Linked DNA regions of Coturnix japonica. The protein of the gene in region 1 interacts with the protein of each later gene in a pairwise test. Links are inferred from orthologs where the notes say so. Each region holds a gene or a part of one and is shown on either strand. Other genes may lie near its edges.

The links.
Region 2: the proteins of POGZ (region 1) and CREB1 interact in a two-hybrid assay, tested with the Homo sapiens proteins (2 studies listed by BioGRID and IntAct). The link is inferred for Coturnix japonica from reciprocal best matches to the Homo sapiens genes POGZ and CREB1.

Annotation. Positions count from the first base shown.
Region 1 is NC_029540.1:2,345,805-2,350,351, forward strand, and holds the start of POGZ (pogo transposable element with ZNF domain), read left to right. Parts: upstream 1-1,685; 5' UTR 1,686-1,861; intron 1,862-4,547. UniProt on the Homo sapiens protein: Plays a role in mitotic cell cycle progression and is involved in kinetochore assembly and mitotic sister chromatid cohesion.
Region 2 is NC_029522.1:10,661,529-10,666,248, reverse strand, and holds the start of CREB1 (cyclic AMP-responsive element-binding protein 1), read left to right. Parts: upstream 1-1,801; 5' UTR 1,802-2,020; intron 2,021-4,720.

The sequences.
Region 1 (4,547 bases):
AAAAAGTGTGCTGTGTAAATGAGGGAGAATGAAGGGGAACTTGGGAAGGCCATCAGAAGGAAATTAATGTGCTTGTTTAACGAAGTGAGGCGTCGTAAATCACGTTGTAGCATCATCGCACCACAGGGGTCCATTTGGGAAGCACACGACTCACCAACATCATGCTTTGAGAATGAAGGAAACGACATTTCAAAGGATGCAGGAGATGCAAATGTTCTTGGATTTGAAGTGCACACTTGTGTGTGTCTTAAAAACGACGTTGGTTGGTTGGAATTGGGTGATCTTCATGGTCCCCTCCAATTTATTCTACGATTCTATGCAAAATATGCTGGCAGTCGATAAAAACAAGCATTATCAGTTTTCACTGTATTATCTTCAGTATTCAGCCTGTACCATATGCAGCCAAAAGCTGTGTGGCCCATCACGACAGAATTATTCACAGTAAGAAGTTTATTATTAAAGACATGAATCATTTGAAATTATCCGTGGGGGAAATGTAAGGAGAATCCCAGGGAGATCTGTTGGCACGACAGTGCAGGGCACTCGGGTGGCACTGATCCAGACACATAGTGAGGAAATGCACAACTGTAAAGTGTTTCTGTGGTTGCTTTGGTTATGTTTGGGATGCTTACAGACATGATGTTGGGTTCAGGCTGCAGGGCACACTGCTCAACCCAGGTGGTGGAATCACTGACCTGGAGGTGCTCAAGAGGAGGGTGGATGTGGGACTGAGGGATGTAGGCAGTGGGCATGGTGGGGTGGGGGTGGGTTGGACTTGGTGATCTTAGAGGTCTTTCCAACCCCAGCGATCCTATGGGGACAGATCCTGAAGGCATTCTCTTACTGCATCTACCTCAGCAGTTGTGTTTAGGAACCTGTGGAGATGCTGATGGCCATTCACTCCAAAGCATTCACCTTGAAGCTGTCCCTCAGAAGTGACACTGGTGTCCACTTTTGACATTAATTATGAGTTTCACATTAGGGAGATGAACCGATTTGCCTCTTTGTTCACCAATAAGGTCTCCCACATCTCCTCCATCACCACACTTACCTCCTGGTCACCTGGAGACACCAGAACCGCATCATTGGCTGCAATGTGGATCTCAAGCCCTGCGCAATGTTCCTTCTAATGGACGAGGGGTTTCAGCAGCTCTTCTCAATGTCTCCTTAAAACCTAAAGGTTAAAAGTGGAGGCCTGGCTCAGAACAGCACTGCCAAGCACCAAAATGGAGCTGTCTGCTGGTGGTGAGAACCCCATACAACTCAGTAACCGCAATGGTGGCATTGGGTGCTCAACACACACCAACCCAAAGCCAGGAACTGTATTATATAGTTATAAATATATATAATAAGGTTAGAAAAGGCTCCTATGATCACCATATCCAGCCCCTACCCAACCAGGGCCCTCAAAACTCTATCTCCACTACTTCTCCACACGGAGATGTGGAACCTGCGGACAGCGGGGATGGGATGATGGGCTGGGGATGGAGATGGGGTTGGAGATGAGGAGGAGGCCATAAGGACCCCATAGATAAGCGCAGCCCACACACCCCCCCCCCCTTATCTCGCCCCACTCCACCGCCCCTGAGGAGGCGTTGGCGGAAGCCCCGCCCTCCGCGTGACGTCATCGAGACGCCCACCAATCCTTGCAGAGCATCTCGGCCCCGGCAGGAAGTGACGTCACCGTCTCCCTCCGCCGCCCGGTCCCCTTTTTGTGTGTGTGTGTGGAGTGCGGCGGCGCCGCGTGTATCCCCCCGCCGCGGCTCCTCCTCCTCCTCCCGCCCCCCCCGGCCCTCCGCCCGCCGCCCGATGCCACCTGCGCTGCGCTCCCGGGGCTGAGGGACCGCGCGGAGCGGGGAAGGTGAGAGCCGGGCGGAGGGTGGGAGGAGGAGGAGGAGGAGGCCGCGGTCCGTTATGTGCCGTGGGCGGAGGGATCGGGGGGGGGGAGTTGGAGGTTTGAACCGCTCTCACACCTGGGATGTGGGAGGATTGGGAGGGATTGAGGGCGCGTACAGCACAAAGCGCGAGGATAATGGGGGGGCGGGGGAGGAGCTCCGGGCGAGGGATCCTCTCACACCCCCCGCGATCGCGGGATGCGGATCCTACACTCCCCGGCCCGTCCCCCCCCACCCCAGAGCTCCGTCCCCCCCCCCAACATTGGTGGGCGGCCATGTTGGGCACCGGGCTTATTTCTGCTGCCTTTCTCCCAGGCACGACGCGCTCAGCCCGGAGCGGGGCCGCGTTCTGTGCCGACAGGCCCTTCCTTAGGCCCCGTGCCCCCCTGCGGCCTGCAGCCTCTCCCCGGCCCCTCAGCGCTGTGGGGCGCTCCGTGGTGATGGAGGGGGGTCGTGGCCCGTCAGTCTTCGCACCGACCCCGTGGAAGGGCGCTGAGCGCAGGGCGGTGCTGAGCGCTGCTTTGTGTCCGTGGCTGTTGGTGACACGGAGCCGTGGGCCGGTGGGTGAGCAGCCCCCGCGCTGTGCCCGTGGTGGTGGAGCTCGGGGCTTTGGGTGCAGCACTGCGGGGCTGCGGGCGGGGGATCAGAACGGCCCTTCCAGCCCAACCCAACTATCAAGTGGTAGTTTCCAGCCCACCCTGTTCGTTCAGGGGTCTGGAAGTTCCCATCCAACCCAACCCATTTGCAGTCCAATCCATTTGCTATGGGAATCCTTTCTGCCTTGAGCTGTTTGCTAAGGGATCCTTTCCAGTCTGTTCACAAAGTGATTGCTTCCAACACAACCCAACTCGTTCACCAAACAATCCTTCCCAGCCCTGTGCTGTCTGCTAATTGATCCCTTCCAACTCAATCTAACCAGTAGGTGATCCAACCCAACCCATTCGTTATGAGATCCCTTCCAACCTGAGCTATTGGCTTAGGGCTCCCCTTCAACCCAACCCATTCCATGTCTGTATGGTCCCACACTTCTCCTGACTGCACCTGCTGAATCCAGGTGTTGAGCTGTCTGCTTGCTGTTGAGCTGCTTGCACTGTTTTTACCCCCACTTGCACTGTTTTTACCCCCACCACGCTGTGGTGCTGCCCTTCAGTCCCATAGAAGCCCAGTGGCTGCAATGGGACACCCCAGCTCTGTGTCCCCTGCTCCACTCCATGCTGTGCACAGGGTTGCACTGCCCTGCAGGAAACTCATGCCACAGGACAACATGCATGGTGTTAGTTTTATTAGCTTGGCTGTGCTGGGGGTGGAGGATGGGGGGATCTGTTGCTTCTTTTAGGAAACGGTTTGTGAAGAAATAGAAGTTCAGCATCTTCCCTGTGCTGGGTCTTGCTGTGCGCTGATGGTTTGAGGTTGCTGCAGATGGGAAGTTGGATCCTGGAGTGCCATACCTGGCTATAATTGTATCTGCAGTTGTGTTGTGCCTAAGAAGAGAAGTGAAGCCGTCCCACAGCTCTGAGCTCTGTCTGGGCCGGGGGGTTCTGCACGTGTTGCTCACAGATGGCAGCGTGTTGTGGATATATATGGCTGTGTTGTTTGTGTGCACGATCCCACAGCTGCTTGGAGTCTGTCAAAAGACCAACGACTGTCTTTGCTCTGACAGACCTGCCCCACGCTCCGTGCCATTGGCAGGAATGGAGCTGCAGGCAGCTTGTGGGCTCCAGAAGCAGCTTCAGGGTAGTCTCATGTTGATGAAATACACCCCAAGTATTCAGCAGAGCTGCAGAGACAGAGCAGAAAGCGGTTTGTTTTCATCACTCAGCACTTCCAACTTGAAGGTAGATAATAATCATTAAAATTGAGTGTAATAATAGATTTTAATTAGTAGGCATGGCACACATCAAAGCCTTTAATAAAATACAGAGGGCTTTAAATGATGGCATTCAGAGCAAATTTAATACGGCTGTGGAAGAACCTGGGTACCCAGCAGAGCGCATCAGTCAGTGCAGAGTGAATTCACCTCCGTGTGAGGGATGTGGCTGCTGAGCCTCCACCTGCTCCCTTCTTTCAGAGGTGTTGCTCATGATGAATGGCCAAATAAACACTAATGAAAACATCATCCAACATTTTCATCACTGAGATTATATCAGCTCGAAGCCGTGCCAGTTATTCATTAAGAGCCACTGAAGAACATTATCTTTTCTTTAGGGAAGGGATTGTGGCGTGTCTTGACAGCAGGAACCTTTATCACAGGATTCATTTGCATTTAATGTAACCTCTTAAAAAGTTAAGGTACGTTCCTTGCCATGAATACACATTATTAAGAGTGAGTGAGAAAAGTAACCAGACAGGAGTTGTGTTGAGCCTGCGTGTCTACCAAGGTTGGACAAAATGGGAGAGCAGCGGGCACTCACAAGTTGGTTTATGTATTAATTTCTATCTTGGAGCGTGTTGAGTCATCTCCAGCTCGTCTGTAGGTCTCTTAGGAACGGATCCTTGATTTTAGATCTTAGATTTTCTTCTCCGGACTCTCAGCATGGAGGTTGTTTTACAGCAAGTGGTGAGGAAAAATGAAGGGTCAATTAATTCTTAATATGTATTTTTCGCACTGATATTTGTCCTCGGGGAGCTGGGGGAAAAGGATTGATATGTTGA
Region 2 (4,720 bases), on another chromosome or scaffold:
AATGTGCAAAACAGCTGCCAGAAAGTTTCAGAGCAGCTGCACACGAGATGTTCTCCCAGCCTTGCCTCTGAATCGGCGTGAGTCAGGGCTGAAGCCAGCTCCAGTCCACATATGGTCTTAGCCTCAGCCATGGGCAAGAGATGAAAATACCACAGAAACATAACATTGGCACAATCTCAAATGACTCCAGGCATGTGACCTACCCGAGGCATCTGTTTTAGTTTGAGATAAACTGCACTCGAGCTATCTGTGCAATGAGGAGTCTATGCTGGCTGGCAAAGGAGCAGCCACTGCTGCAAGATGCCCTTTGCAGCTGAGCTGGTGGACATTGAGAAGTGCTGCTGAAAGCCCCAAGTGAGTGCAGGGTTGGGAATGGCCAGTGGGACTGCCAGAGGATCATCCAGACCTTAAATGGGCAGCAGGATCAGAGCTGTGCAAGGAGCTGCCCGCCTGTGTATATAGCTCAGGGCCCAGCTATAACCCAGTCCTATCAGCAGCACTGCTGCTGCTCTGGCTTAGCGTGCAGCTGGGGCTTCTTGTAGGAGACACTGTCTGAGGCCTGGTCCGTGCCTTTTGGTTGCTTTTCAAAGGCTGGAATTTATTGTTGAAGGTTTTCTGCTGTGATCCTTCAAGGTTGCTGCCCCACAGTGAGAAAGGCAGGTCTGGGAAACTGGCATGTGTAGAGAACATCCACCAGGGAGCAAAGAAAGATGATGTAGCACCAAGATCAACACGAGGAGGGAAGAGGATTGGGAAAAGAGATAAAGAAATGCAGTAATTGAAAGGAGACACTCAGAGCACTGAGTCTGTTCCGCTCATCGTAGGCGTTTTCTCACATAGGTTCTCACAGCCTTGAAGCTCCTCACCTGCAGACAGGACAAAGGGGACAAGTGCAACGGGAGTGGAAAATGAGATGTGGCCCAGGCTGTATTATGGGGTTATTAGCAACGTGCTGTCAGTTTAACCTGACCTCCCTTTTTAAAATAAGTCAATTCTGGCTTATTTCATTTTCATTTAGAATAACTATAATCAACAGAAACAGAGTAACCTGCAATCGTTCCCTGCACCGCCTTTTAATTTGGGATGGATTTACACGACACGGTCCAACTGAAACCCATTTATTTGGCTTTCCTGAGGACACGAGGCTGCTCAGGAGCCCGGTGCTGCTGATGGGCAGAGCCGGCACGCACCGTGCTGTCTGCTGGGGATGTACCAGGCACAGAGCTCCAAACCTTGTTGTGCAGTGCCATCTTGAGGTTTCGAGAGATAAAAGCGCTTTATACGAGACTGCGCTGTGTTTTTATCGTGCAGAAGGAGCAGGTGAAGTTGGCTCTCCTTGCTGCGGGACAAGGTGCGCCCTGTGGGCCCGACAGGACGGTGCTGGAGATGCCCCGGGGCGGCACCGGCTCCTGTTGGAGCCTCCCGTGGCAGCGTGCTGCCCGTTCCGTGCCCGCAGGAGCCGTGTGACTCGGCCCGTCCCTGGTGCAGCCCGGTGCAGACGCCGCCCGGCCGATGCTGCCGTCTCTCCGCTTTGCGCCTTCCCTGCCCGGCGCCTGCCCCGCTCTGCCCCGCTCTGCCCGGCTCTGCCCCCGGTCTATTGGCGGCCAACGCCACCCGCCCCGCGGGCCGCCTGGGGCGGAAGCGCGGTTCGCGCCTTCCCGCGGCCGCTCGGCTCTTTCCGCCACCCCTCCGGGCCGCTTCGTTCGTTTCCGCGCCCGCTCGGCTCTTTCCGAGGAGGCCGGCGGCGCGCTCGGCCGTTCCCGCCGCCCGCCGCGCGTTCGGCGGTTTCCGTGAGCGCTCGGCGGTTTCCGTGCGGGCCGCGTTGCGCTCGGCGCTTGCTCCCTGGCTGGCGCTCCTCAGTCGGCCGCTGCCTGCCTGTCGCCGGGCTGGGAGCGCCTGTGTGTGTGTGAGTGACGCGGCGGAGGTGTAGTTTGACGCGGTGTGTTACGTGGGGGAGAGAATAAAACTGCGGCGAGATCCCAGGCGCGAACGAAAGCAGTGACGGAGCAGCCCGCAACCGGTAAGAGGAGGACGGCGCCCAGCGAACAGGGGCGGGGGGGAGGGAAGGAAACGGAGCCCGGCGGGGACCGGGGCGGCCGGCGGGCGGCGGGACGCGGGGAGCCCGGCCTCGCACCGCCCGCGGGAGGGGCGCCCGCCTTAAAGATGGAGCCGAGCCCCGCACCGTCCCCGCCGCCGCCGCGCCGCGAACAAAGGATAATGGCGGATCGGAGCCGGCCCCGGCGGCGGCCGCTCGGCCGGGCCACTCCGGCGGCAGCCAGCGGCGGCGCTCGGCGCGGCGGGGAGGGCCCCGGCCCCGCGGCGGGAGGACGAGGACGGGGGGCGCGGATCGGCCGCTCGCCCGTGCTGCGGGACGCCCCTCCGCCGCCGCCGGGCGCTGGCGGCGCTGCCCCGCTCTTCCTCCCCCGGCCGGGCCGGGGCCCCGCTCCCTTAAGCCGCCGGCCGACAGCCGCGTCCCGCGGGGCGCCGGCGCGGCCCGAGCCCGGCCCGCCCGCAGGAGGCCCCGCGCCGGCACCCGACGCCTCCGAGCGGAGCCGGGCGCTCCGGCGGTATTTTTAACCCGCGGCGAACCCGATTCCGGCCGAGGCGGTCGGTCTCCGCTCGGAGCCGCCGGTGCCGGCGCCCCGCGGCTCCGGGTGCCGCACGACCGGCGGGATCCGACCTCTGTCCGTACCTTAATGGCAAATGTCAACGACGGCGCCTTCCCACGCCACGCCGGCTCAACCGCCGCCGGTGCCGCAGCTGCGGGCCGTTCCCGCCTCGTTCCCTAGGACAGAGGACTCGATTCCCGCTTCCAAACCTGGATAACCGCATCTCTGTGCACGGCAATAAGTCCAAGTGACGTGGCAAGCGGATCTTATTAAAAATGTTTTTCAACCGAAGGTTATTACGCCTCCCAGTCATACACAAGGAGATACATATATTTTATTTTTGCAGACCATATGGCTTTTAATTCCAGATTTTTATTTTTTAATTCTCCCTTTTAAGCATTGCAATGCTTCTGGAGTAACACTGTTGTGAAAAGCAGCTCTTCCTGGGGTTAGAAACAATTTTCCTGTTTCTTAAATAAAGGACTAGAAACTGACCTAGGGTCATTAAGCAACTGCAGATCCACCGTGAGCACCAAGCACTCCTTAGAAATTCAGCACCTGTACTCGGTCCCTTCCCCACCACCAGCAAAGATGTTTGCTTTGGTTTTTTAAAGCAAAATTTAAGTCACCAAAACAGGTTTTTGGTCAAGACGGATATTAGTGATTCACAGAAGCACATGGACAGCCTGTCCTTCCTTCTGTGCAAATCAATGTGTTCTGTCACTTCCACCACTGTCAACATAAACGCCAAGGGTGTTCCACATCTCTTCCCACTCTATAATAGAGGGTTCCTAAAGCCATAACTGAACAATGCGCATCTGTGGGTGTTGGCGGGCAGTGGAGCAATTGGTGGTGATTAAATGATTTGTAGTGGCTGGTGTATTTCATTAATTCTTGGTTTGCTGGAATACGCACTTCATTTTAAATACAACAATGTGACAGTAAATCCTTGCGTAGTACTTTCTGTAGCTTCAGAAACACAGCACTTTGTCCCCTAAACATGCTGTTTCATAACAGCAGAGGACTCTCAGATCCACGTTTTCTAACCCATACACTGCACCCACACGAGCTCTATATCCTCACAGGTCAGGTTGGGAAGAGCAGCAGACAGGAGGTTGTGTTTGCTACGTATCACTGTCAGGTGACTCAGGGTCAGATATTTAAGTGCAGGAAAGAAGAACATAATAATGTTTAATATTTCATTGATAGAGTATAAATGTTAAAACTATTTCTCCCACCTTTATATCTGGATCTCCTGTGTTATATCTGGATCTCCCATGAGCTGTCTGCATCTGATTCTCCCCCATGGCTTTGGTGATGAGGTGCCTGCTGCCCTGGGTGCAAGGGATGATCTGACAGGGAAGAATGATCTGTTGATAGAGAAAATTTAGAAGCATCTAATTTAGGTTGTCAAGTCATCAGTCTACCCCTTCTATGGGAGCGTGAGCTGGTGCAGCTACTGCTGGTCCTGAGACCCAATATACAATATTCTGGAAAGTAGCAGTCGGGCTGTGCTCAGAGGTGAGCACTTCTTACCCATGTGCAGGCTTTGATAGTAGATGAGGCCCTGATGGGGAATTTCTATTGACACCCTAGTGCAACAAATAGGATATTCACACCTCGCCTCTATTTTTGGATCTCTTAGCAAGTGGAGATGGGTTACTCATGCCATGCTTCTAAAGGCTTTGCTGCAGTGAGAAGGCCTTGCCAGCTTTCTGCTCATCATCAGTTTCATTAAAAAGACAGTGTGAGAATAATATAAGGATGGTGGTTGTAAGGTAGAAATAATACAAAGATGGTAATAATACAAGAGGGATAGTGACAGATATCCAAAAGGTTATCTATAGGAAAAACTCACCAATACAGATGCCTTCAGTCTGGCTGGAAAATAGGCTGGTTATCCAATCTCCACAGGGGAGCAATCTCCAAGAGATGCTGCCTTAGTGGTGGTCAGCCCTTAAATGAGGTCTAGGAGAGGTGGAATCAATCTCCACCCCTTCGGGGAGCACAACTGAATTACCTTCACCTGTGTTCCCACAGCTGACCTGACACTTGCCTCAGCTGGTTAATCAGAGGTTCAGGCTGTGATGACCAGTTTCCCACACAGACAG